Caenorhabditis elegans: one gene and its partners. The protein of the gene in region 2 interacts with the protein of the main gene of each other region in a pairwise test. Each region holds a gene or a part of one and is shown on either strand. Other genes may lie near its edges. The genes, in order: piki-1, R02F2.5 and scrm-5.

Region 1 (3,757 bases), on a different chromosome or scaffold from region 2:
TACAATAAAGTGTTTTTAATAGAGTGTTTTTGGCAAATTTACTTTGACAAAAAAGTTTGGGCGTTTACATACAAAATTAGTTGAGAAGCATGAAGTATCTGTCTGATACTGGGTGGTCTATAATCAAAAAATATGGACCACCCAGTAGATAGCATACACTAGAATACTAATAAAATTATCTTCTTTGCAAAAGTCTAATATTTTTAGCTTTAAACCTAATTTTCCTACCTCGTCTTGTGAAGCATTTGAGCTATCCTCAAAAGCGCTCAAATCAATCAAGTCACCATTGAGAAGAGCTCCGTACGATGAGTTGAGGGAATGCATTACGTATGGCACGTAGAGATGAGTTAACGGCTGATACTGAATGCTATGATCATGACTGCCAGTTTGATTAGACGATGTGTCGACTGTCGAGTTGAAACTTATTTCGAATGGCTTAATGGCTGAAATTCAGAAATACATGTATTTAGCAAATATATATGTTTTTCATTTTCAAGAATGTGCATGACACCGCAGGAATTTCTCTACATTTTTGCATAATTCCAAAAAAGAAAACAAGAAAAACAATCTGACCCTTTTTCGTCAAGTGTCTCCTTCAATTTTTCAAACCAACCAAAAAAAAGACAATAAATTGTTTGAATAAACTCACGGGACAGAAACTGCTGACTGTCCGACGCGAACGATGGAGCTGAATGTCTGAGCGGTGTGGAAGAGACTGGAGGTGTGGGATGTATCGGCACTGGAGGTGACTGTTGGACTCTCGAATGTCTTGGCGGCACTGGTGGTGGTGGTGGGACAAAGTAGCGATCATGGAGCACTAAATAGCCTTGTAAAATTAAACAGGATTTTTTTTGTTCTTTTGGAAAATGTATTTATTGATATGATATTATACTTTTAGGACGTACTAATTATATGTATACTCTTCTAATATAAAAATTAAAACTTACATGGAACTGATGGAGCCGGTGGAAACTTATACTGCTCTGGTTTTGGAGGCCTCGGTGGAGGTGGAAACGCCGGCGGCTGGGACGTGGAAGCTATTGCAGACCAGTCTTGGAAATAGTTTCTCGGATATGATTGCGAGTGTGGAATCGGTCCAGCACGAGGCTCGTTGTAGACTGGACGGAAATCAATGGGGCTTGTGGCAAGTGAGCTGCAATGATAACTATTTAATTTTGAGCCGGCTAGGAAATCGTCAGCTCTTTTTATTCCGTGTCAATTTAATCGCTTTTGATTTTTGACAAGCTGTAATTTGTTAAAAATTAATTTCAACAGTACCGTATAGAATCGGTTGTGCTTGTTCTTCATCAAAAAATAGATTTATAAAACATATTTTCCAAGATTTAGAATTCAATTTTTTTTGGTTTATGAGTCACAATTGACACAATAATTTTTCTATTTTCAAATTGAAATACCAAATGACTCACCCCGAATAGGACGAAGGTCCCGGACTATTCGCCTCGTACAACTGCTTTATCTGGTTGATTTTCCGCTGGCGCGCTGGCTCATCAGGACTCTCAAATCGGATCAAGTCCAAGTCGTTCGACCTCAGCTTCTGCTCGTCTTTGAACGTTTTTCTGAAATTGTGAGACGTCATGAAGAAAGAAGAAGAAAGGAGAAAAAAGTGCTCAGGGTCTCCCGGGCCATGGGCATCAGGTGTCTTTTTACACAACTCACTTTGAAATTTCGATGGCTAGTTGGAGCTCTTCATCGTCGCTCATAATCCTCCTTCACGCCCAGTTTGCGAGCTGAAAATTATTCTAACTGGATAAAATAAAAATCTATGAATAACTAGAATTTGAAAATGCTAAAAAAAATAATAAATAAATTATTCACATGTTCACTATTAATGTTAATAAAAATATGATGGTTGAAACAGCTACTACACAAATAACAAGCCTAATATTTTCAAATTTTAAAATAATTTCGAAATAAGCTTATTCAGCAAAAAAAACGCATATTGAGCTTTGCATTAATCAATCCAATTGGTTAACTAGAGAACAAAAAACACCATATGGACGCAGAGGGAGAACAAGAGAAAGAGAGGAAGAAAGACAAAGACAAGTGACCTGTTTAACCAAAAAAGAAGACGAGGACGAACGGGGCAACACAAAAAAAACGGTGCAGGAGGAGGAGGCGATAGTGTGTCTGCGCAGACAAACAGTGTGCAAACACCGTAACGTAAATCCACACACAAACATTCTTGTTTTTTTTCTTCCCGGCAAAACGGTTCGGGAAAAAACACATACCGAAGGGGAAAGTAAACACTTGGTTTTTGGATTGTTTTGGGGAATATTTGTATCCAAAAACTTCATGTCAATACTTTCGCAATTTTTTCAAGACAACTAAATTTTGTGAATCAGTCCGGTTGTCAGGGAAAAAGAATATGCAGTGTACACCTACCAGCCGTCACTACTACTATTAATTGCGCATTTCCAATCACCAGCGCATGCCCTTAAGAAACGAAAAAACAAGACAACGACTTTTTCTTAAAGATTAGCACACTTTCTTATCAGTTCTTGCATTTTGATTCAGAACTATTTCAAAAGTCAATAAAATTGCATTGTTTAACTTTGAGACAATTTTCAGAGTATGTTTTTACTTTAGGCAACATTCGATGCTGATGATTGTACTTCTTCGCCCAATTTAAAAACTTCCGATTTGGAGCCACTAAGAGGCCATCTGCCACAAATCGCCCGTTTACAGGAGCTGTTGGACTGGAGCTGGAGAACTGGAGCTGTTGGAGCAAGTCTGCGGGTTTTGCGTTTTTTTTATTTTAATCTGAAGTACAACTTTGTAGTTTATGATATTTCTTCAAAAAATTTGATGGTCGAGATAAAGTTGTGTTAATTGCGGCACTTTCATGCCTGTATTTTCTTCGTCTTTTTCTGTTCATATCTCGGCCATCAAATTTTTTGAAAAAACACCATCAACTACAAAGTTGTACTTTAGATTAAGATGAACAACTTTGTAGTTAATCACTTTGTCAGAAAAAATTTTTCAACAAAGATATACACATCCAAAGGAAATGCGTTTTTTGAACTTAGGGGTTCTACTGAACCCCAGGTTTTCGTCTGAAATCGTGCTCTGAACATCGAAACTAAAAAAAACAATCAAATTTACATTTTTCTATGACATATGAACAAATTAAGAAAAGTTTTCAAAAAAAAATTTTCGAAAAAATTTTAGAAATTTTTCATAAGGGCGGACCCTTTGGATTTTTTATTCAAAAAAATCCAAATTTTTTTTCATAATTTGTCAAATATTTATCAGATATTGTAAAAATATGTTTCCCTAATTGTATCTATGTACTTTCTTGCCAAATGTGGTGCTTTCGAAAACTAAGAAACTGTAAAAACCTCTATTCCTCTATCTGATCTACCTACTATGACAGTTTTTCGAAGTCATGTCCCACATCGGGCAAGCAAGATATCAAAAAATTGTCAACTACAAACTTGTTCAAGTTCTTATGGAACATGTTTCATGTTTAATAGTTTATTGCTTTCTGTGCAGAGTACGGAGATATCATCAGTCAAAATTAGTGATATTTGACTCATAATTAGGTGCTCCTACCTGCTCAGCCATGCAAGATGGAAAAAAGATACACTATGTAATTTGTCAATCACTTCATTCCTAATAACTTTCTAATTGAAAAGTTTTCAGCTGCCTGCGGAGCTAGAACACTTTGGAAGTACTCACTTTCTATGAACAAGCGAAATTGACTGTTGTATTTTTTTGCCCAAAAGTGTGATTGAGC
Region 2 (3,204 bases):
AAAAATTGTAGAAGTTGGAGAAGAGTTTTAAAAAACATTTAAAATTAAAGTTCTTTTTTGAAAACCCATTTTAAAACGTTTTATCTTTTTTTTCAGGATTGTCAAATTGATAAAAATGAGAACTAGTATTTCTTGAGAAATTTCCCTTTTTTTTAAAGAAGAAAATAGACATTTTAATTTTAAATAATCTGTAATAATCACTATTTCTTCTCGAACTCGATTTTTTTTAAAAATTCTGTCAACTTATTAATTTTCGAAATTAGGGGGAGCTTGTTGAGTATGTTTTGGTAAAAGTTACCAAGAAAAACGACTAAATTGAAATTTTAAAAAAACCTTCAATTATTCTCAAAAACGGTCTAAATTTTTATTCTTCAGCTGACTGCATCAATCATTGGAGACGCAGTATTCTATGGATCAGACAGTCTACTTGCCATGTCAAAACTACATTCACTGGCCGATAAAAATGCATCCGCGTTGCTCGCCACGAATCTTCCAGTTGTTGAGAGAACCCGATACAAGAAGTTCCTTTCTACGATCACGAGGGCTTCGAAGCGAATTTATTAATTGTTTTTTTTGTTATAATATCCATTTTTATGTTGTTGATTGTTCATCTTGTTCTGTTGATTTTTAAGTGTTCAATTAAAAAATTTATTCCAAAAAAACACAAAAGAGTTCAAAAAAGTCAATAGAATCCGCATCCATAACCACCATATCCTCCATACCCGAAATCAAAACCTCCGTATCCATATCCTCCATAAAATCCATTATAATATGGGTCGAACATAACACCACCTCCATAATATGGATAAGGGCTCATGATCACTGGCGGCGGAGCCATGACAACTGGAGCCACCGGAGCAGCACCCATGACCATTGGTTGGGATCCATAGACCACGGGAGCAGCTTGTTGTTGTTGAGGGTAAGCTTGAGCAGGTGCAGCCGGAGTTGCCTGGGGAGCTGCCTGAGGAGCTGGTGTAGGTGCCGGGACTGGGGCTCGCGGAGCAGACTTTCTCTTCTCCACTTCCTTTTCAACCTCTTTCTCCGTTTGGTCGATGCAAGTAAAAAGCTCTGGATCTTCAGGCGTTGGTGATGGCTCCGCAACTCTCTCCGGTGGTTCTGCAATCGTTACTCTCCTATTTTTGGGCTCCACGACTTTCTCAGGAGCTTTCGGTGCTGCTGGAGGTGCGTAGGCCGGTGGAGGTCCCTGTGGGATCCCTTGAGGCTGCTGTCGAGGGTATGCCTGAAAAATCGATATTTTCTTTTATTGATTTTCGGAAAATTATCGATTTTCCCTACCATTTGCTCTGTCGAGGCGTTTGGAGATGGTTGAGTGTGCTGACGATTCTGAAAAGTTGAGGTACAAGGAGGAGTTCTTGAGCTTGACTTCAAGGCGACCTTCGTCTGCCTTGTGTCTATTCAGTTTTTTTTATGGAACCCGGAACAGGGATTATAGGCAGGCACGGTCACCTCATATGAAACTTGGAGACTTACCATTTGGTCCGAGCGTTGGTTGTTCCGTTGATTATTTCTAGCTTTCTTCGATTGACAGCATCCCATTTTTCATCGATATATTTGAGTTCTTTTGATTATAAAGTAAGTTGGGAATAAAATTTTTTAGCGGCAAGTTTGAACATTTGAAAAATAAATCATTTCCAAAAAAATAACTGCAAGGCGTTCACGCAGAAATGGAAGCGGCCGACACTTTCCTTTTTCTAATGCCAGCAGTCGACACTTCCCGTGGATAAATTTTGGTGGATCAATTTGCCAGTTTCGGACCGATTAACTAATTTTTAGAAAACAATCTCAGACTATTTTTATTGCAAAAAAAGGATCAATTATCAATTATTTCTTATCGGAAATATTTTCAAGTCACTTCATCTTCTTCTTACTTTTCATTTGACATCTCGATTAAAACATAAACGGATCACAATAGAATGGATCACCGTAGTACATTCCACCTCCATAACATGGATAAGGATCCACAATGACCACTGGCGGAGGAGCAGCCACTACGACTTGCTGTTGCGGTGGATAGTATGGCTGTTGAGCCCCATACGCAGGAGGCGGTTGTGGCTGGTACGGGAGACCTGGAGACGGTTGTTGACGTTGAGGTTGTGGAGGCTTCTGTCCATTGGGAGGTGGAGCTTGTTGCTGCTGCTGCTGTCGAGGTGGAGGTGGAGGTTGATTCCTATTCTGAGGTTGATTCTGGGCAGGATAGGGGCCTGATTGGGTTCCGGTTTGATTCTGAAAATATAGTTTTTGAGACGAGGAATCTCTAAAAATGAATGCTGTCGAGATTGTAAAAGGTGTGCAAAACTATAGTGACTCTACAGTAACCAGGTAATAAACCTGCGCCAACCGTACCCCTAACAACACGTAGTACTTTGGTTTCAAAAGAGTTCGCAGCGAAAGCTGATGCAAGCTTAAGCGTACAAGTACAGTATTACTACAGTAACACTGTAATTACAACGATGAGCTACCGTAATCTTGCAATAAACCTATGAAACCCGCTACCGTACCACTACAGTAAACCAATCGAAACTTGGTTCTGCAGAGCGTAATCCTACAGTACCTACCATTTGTTGTCCATTTCGATTTGAATTCCTACTATTCTGCTTGTTTTTTGAACCGCAGCATCCCATTTTCTCACGGCTTTCAGAAATGAATTTCTTTGAGTTTGAAATTGATTTTTGGAAAGTTTTACACGTAAATGTTAAACTTTTCGACTTTTTAAATTATTTTTTTCCAGATTTTTATTATTATTATTTAGGCACGAATGAAGTTCAATTTGAGACAGCTAACATTCACGAAAATAGGGGTTAACAAGGAAGGCGCGAAGGCAAACACAGGTAGGCACGAGGGAGTGAGATAGGCGGATAGGCTTGTAGGCTCAAAATGGTGTATGGACCTGAAAATGTTGATAATAACGCTGATAAAAACGTTGATAAAAACGATAGAATTGTACTGTAGTTTTTATTGAATATCATCAATTCGTAGAAATCTCGGTATATCACCAATACATACACATACACCTATATATATAAATGAATAAATAAATGCAGCGGTATGCACACCCGTTCGGTAAGCAATCCAAGTAGTTCATCCGGTATTAAATGTGGGAGAAGGTAGGGTACCATGAAAGAAGCTTAAACTCTCATTCGGAACCCGTCGTTGTTTTCTTCTTCTTCTTCTTGATTATTGTCA
Region 3 (3,757 bases), on a different chromosome or scaffold from region 2:
AGCGTACGCCACTCGGAGCGCGCGCTTTGTGTTTCCAAACGGCTGGTAGAAAAATATTTTCATTTTCAGAAATTTTATGACAATTCACCATTCTCTCTTTGCGGTTCTGTTGTTGTGATTCTCTCGAAACGAAACCCAAATGAGAATAATATTTCCAATCTAGTAGCCAAAATTCGATCGCATCATGGAATGGTTCATGTAATTTCATCAAATACTCCATCAGGTGGATCCCAACCACTCACCCTCTATGACCTCTCATTTAAAACAAATGGACTAGCCGATTTTCGAAATGATGATCAATTCAACGATGTAAGATTTCAGAGGTCGCTCCTCACTCTTAATTAATTTCAGTCTCAAATTCGTTTTTTTGGGCTATTTTGGCCTGTAGCCATTTATTCGGTGAATCCTGTAGTGTCCGGAAAAGGCTCCATTGTACTGCCTTCACTGTTCCACACTAAACCCAACGGGACATTCTTTGCCGGGGTCGACTTTGCAGTAACTGTACAGAACCATGGTACAAATTTTGATATGATTATCATAACTTGTTAATATTACAAATTGAGGTCCCATTGATACATTCCAATCATTTTACCTTTCTTGGTACAATGCTTCATCATCTACCAATGGTGGTTTTTATGGATATCCAGGATCCCCATCCAATGAGGTAACGTTTCCTACATGTACTCATACGATACCGTTTTTTGAGGTTACTACCTTTGAAAGTAATAACCTCACGATTAGAGACTAAATGATTAAAGGATTAAAGGTCGATCCGTTTTTCAAGCGTTGTGCACTGATTTTTTTGGTTTTTTGAGACCAAAAAAACCAAAAAATAAATTGCAACACTGATTCAGCAAAAAATTAAACAAATGAGAACAAAAAACCTTGTTCAATCGTTCGTGTGTTCAATTTTTAATATTTCATGAAAAATTCCTGTTTTGTCCCGTTTGATATCAAACCGTGAAATTTTTTTTGTTTTTTGTTTTTTTTAGTTTTTTTTTGTTGGTTTTTTTGAAAATTTCGATTTTTTGTTTCTTGTTTTTTGGTCCAAAGTTCGACCAAAAATTTTTTTGTTTTCTGGTCGAAGTTTGTTTTTGTAATACCTGGTGGTGATCCTACTGGGCGGTAATTTAAGCCACACCCAAGCTGGGGACTGTGGCCGTTTTATAACTTCAGTAACTGTTTGATAAGACAATAAATTTCGAGAGCAGGCTCCAGTAATCCTATGCCTCACTAACAGGGAATATACGTTAGCTATTTCAGAAAAATAGCACAATTCGAGCAGGCTATGGAAACCTCGATGCTGCTATCTACAACATGAAACTTGAGTACTCATATTCTGACAATACGCCAATCAAACTCCAAATTAGACAATACGCTGCGATGTAAGATAATGTTAGTGCTAGTTCATCAGAAAAATAACTTTTTTCAGCGATATTGACTACTGGCCACCATATGCTGACTAAATGCCAAGTTTTGCAATTCATTTGAATAAACATTTGAACATTCCAATAGCTTACACATTTCAACAGATAACACTTCAAAAGTTTTTTAGTCTGGGAGATTGATAAAAATTTGTTTCAAAGTAATTTTGCAGAAATTAAAATTCTGCCACACTATCCTGTATGGAAGAATTTACATGTCGATGTGCATTCTTCTAGTTGATAACTTTGAGACTCAGCGAACGCTTGACAAGTTATCACTGCTTGTTCAAGTACTGATTTCGAGCTCCAAATTTATTGTGCTGGTTGCCAGGAGCCACTGGTTTCAGGTTTCATGCTGCAAAGTCATCTTCAGTGTTTCACTGAAGATCCACAAAACGAATATATAGTTTGGCTGCTTAACCATTGAAAATCTATTAGTTTTTGTTCAGTACCGAAAATTCAGATCGGTGAATTCGAGAAAGTTTTGGAAGAGCTGCGGGATGTTTTTGTTCATAGTTTCTAGAAAATTTGGAGCCACGGGGTAAATAAATAAATTTTTAAATAAATTAGATAAGTTCAAACGTGAATATGAACTTTCTGCCCTTTCTGCCCTATCCCTTTTCCCCACGTATTCAATTTTCGAAACAACAAATAAAATCAATACTCCCTTCGATTGAAATTCATTCATTTTCGACTAGTGAACAACGATCTGATATGTGAGTTTTCTTATATCTGTCAGTGTTCCCCAAAAAACCCGCAAAATTTTTTCAGAAAATGAACAAACAACCGGGACAGCAACCATTGAGATCGCTTAGCTTGACGTCTGCGGCCAAGTCACCTGAGGAGGTTGAGCCGGAGCAGGATTCGAAGAAAGGAGAGCCACGTGCCAAGGCTGCAGGATTCGGAGGAGGTGGAGGTGGTGGAAAGAGACTCCCAGAGGCAAGATCTACGCCAATGGTCATTCCGAACCAGGTAGCAGCGATGCCGGTTCAGATGACTGTAAGTCATTCTAGCTAATAGTGATCGTTTTAACTTTTGACTTTTCAGGGCTTCGTCCAACTTGTCGCCAACAACATTCTCAGCGCCATTGCCCATACCAACTCTGTGATGGTTGTCCAATGCATCAAACCCCTCGAGATCTTCACCGGATTCGAAACTCCGAATCGCTACGTGGTCCATGACATGTACTGCCGCCCGCTGCTTTATTGTATGGAAAGATCGAACATCTTCGCTCGTCAGTACGAAGGAAACGATCGTAACTTCGGAATGCAGATCATGGATACCCACGGAGCTCAGGTGATGACGTGCTTCAGAGGAAGACCATGCTGCTCGACCGATGATTTTCTGAGCACCCAGTTCCTCGATCAGCAGATTGGGATGATGAAGAAGGAGTGCTGCAATCCTAATGTGAGTGCTAGTATCAAGTAAAACTACAGTAATCCAGAGCCCTGAAGCATTCTTTGGAAAAATCACATTTTTCTCAAAAGAGATCTTTTCGCTGATCTGAGTTTGCATCAATCTTGATCGAGCTTAGAGCCAGGGCTGTGCGGCAAATTTTGAAACTTGCAGTGCTCGGCAAACGGCAAATTTGCCGCACACCCCTGATGCCCTATCTATAGTCCGATCTATAATATATCTGTAACTTGGCACATAGCAACCTAGAGTCTTTCCGCTTTGCTCTGCCGCCCAGCCGCAAGACATTGATACACAAAAGAGAGCAAAGCGGAAGGACTGTAGGTTGCAATGTGCCAAGTTTGTACTGACATAGATATAGACTATAGGTTACTAGACTGTCCAAATGTCTTTCAGTATTAAGATGTTTATCTAGAAAGCCTATTACTTGGTACATAGACGTACAGGTTTCACGCCTTTGCTCTGCCGCCCAGCGGCTAGGCATTGACACACTAAAAGAGAGAAACACAGAGCAAGGCGGAAGGACCGTACGTCACCAATGTACCAAGTTACAGATATAAATTGCACTATACAATTGCACTATACGTAGATCTATAGATCTATATCTATATACCGCTGAACGGCAACATCGGGACTAGCATGACACCTTGTACAAGGGCAAACTCGGCAAATTTGCCGAGCTCAACTAACTCCGAAAAATTTGATGTTTTTTGAAGCACCAAAACTACTGAATTTTTAACGCGGCAAATTCGCCAAATTCGCCAAACTTGCCGCACACCCCTGATCAGAGCAATCGTTCCTATAGGCTGAAGCTTTATTAGCTCTTCACCTGAATCTCCCATCCTCCTTGAGACACATCCTATTAACCTTTTCTTTCAGTTCGAGCTCGTCGGATCCGGCTGCAACCAGCCCCTGCTCAT

What was found.
Region 1: the proteins of R02F2.5 (region 2) and piki-1 interact in a two-hybrid assay, tested with the Caenorhabditis elegans proteins (2 studies listed by BioGRID).
Region 3: the proteins of R02F2.5 (region 2) and scrm-5 interact in a two-hybrid assay, tested with the Caenorhabditis elegans proteins (2 studies listed by BioGRID).

Annotation. Positions count from the first base shown.
Region 1 is NC_003284.9:15,244,645-15,248,401, forward strand, and holds the start of piki-1 (Phosphatidylinositol 3-kinase piki-1), read right to left. Parts: upstream 1,756-3,757; 5' UTR 1,722-1,755; coding exon 1,678-1,721; intron 1,578-1,677; coding exon 1,428-1,577; intron 1,154-1,427; coding exon 948-1,153; intron 818-947; coding exon 650-817; intron 444-649; coding exon 229-443; intron 1-228. UniProt on the Caenorhabditis elegans protein: Phosphatidylinositol 3-kinase involved in clearance of apoptotic cell corpses by phagosomes.
Region 2 is NC_003281.10:5,477,757-5,480,960, reverse strand, and holds R02F2.5 (Prion-like-(Q/N-rich)-domain-bearing protein), read right to left. Parts: upstream 1,644-3,204; 5' UTR 1,558-1,643; coding exon 1,492-1,557; intron 1,345-1,491; coding exon 1,297-1,344; intron 1,241-1,296; coding exon 683-1,240; 3' UTR 633-682; downstream 1-632. Other genes in the region: R02F2.7 (Myb-binding protein 1A-like protein), read left to right, coding at 376-564; R02F2.6 (uncharacterized protein), read left to right, coding at 2,037-2,279; R02F2.10 (Prion-like-(Q/N-rich)-domain-bearing protein), read right to left, coding at 1,909-2,244, 2,577-2,642; Protein lon-1, read right to left, coding at 3,147-3,204.
Region 3 is NC_003282.8:4,160,324-4,164,080, forward strand, and holds the start of scrm-5 (Phospholipid scramblase), read left to right. Parts: upstream 1-2,097; 5' UTR 2,098-2,140; intron 2,141-2,195; 5' UTR 2,196-2,198; coding exon 2,199-2,423; intron 2,424-2,471; coding exon 2,472-2,831; intron 2,832-3,716; coding exon 3,717-3,757.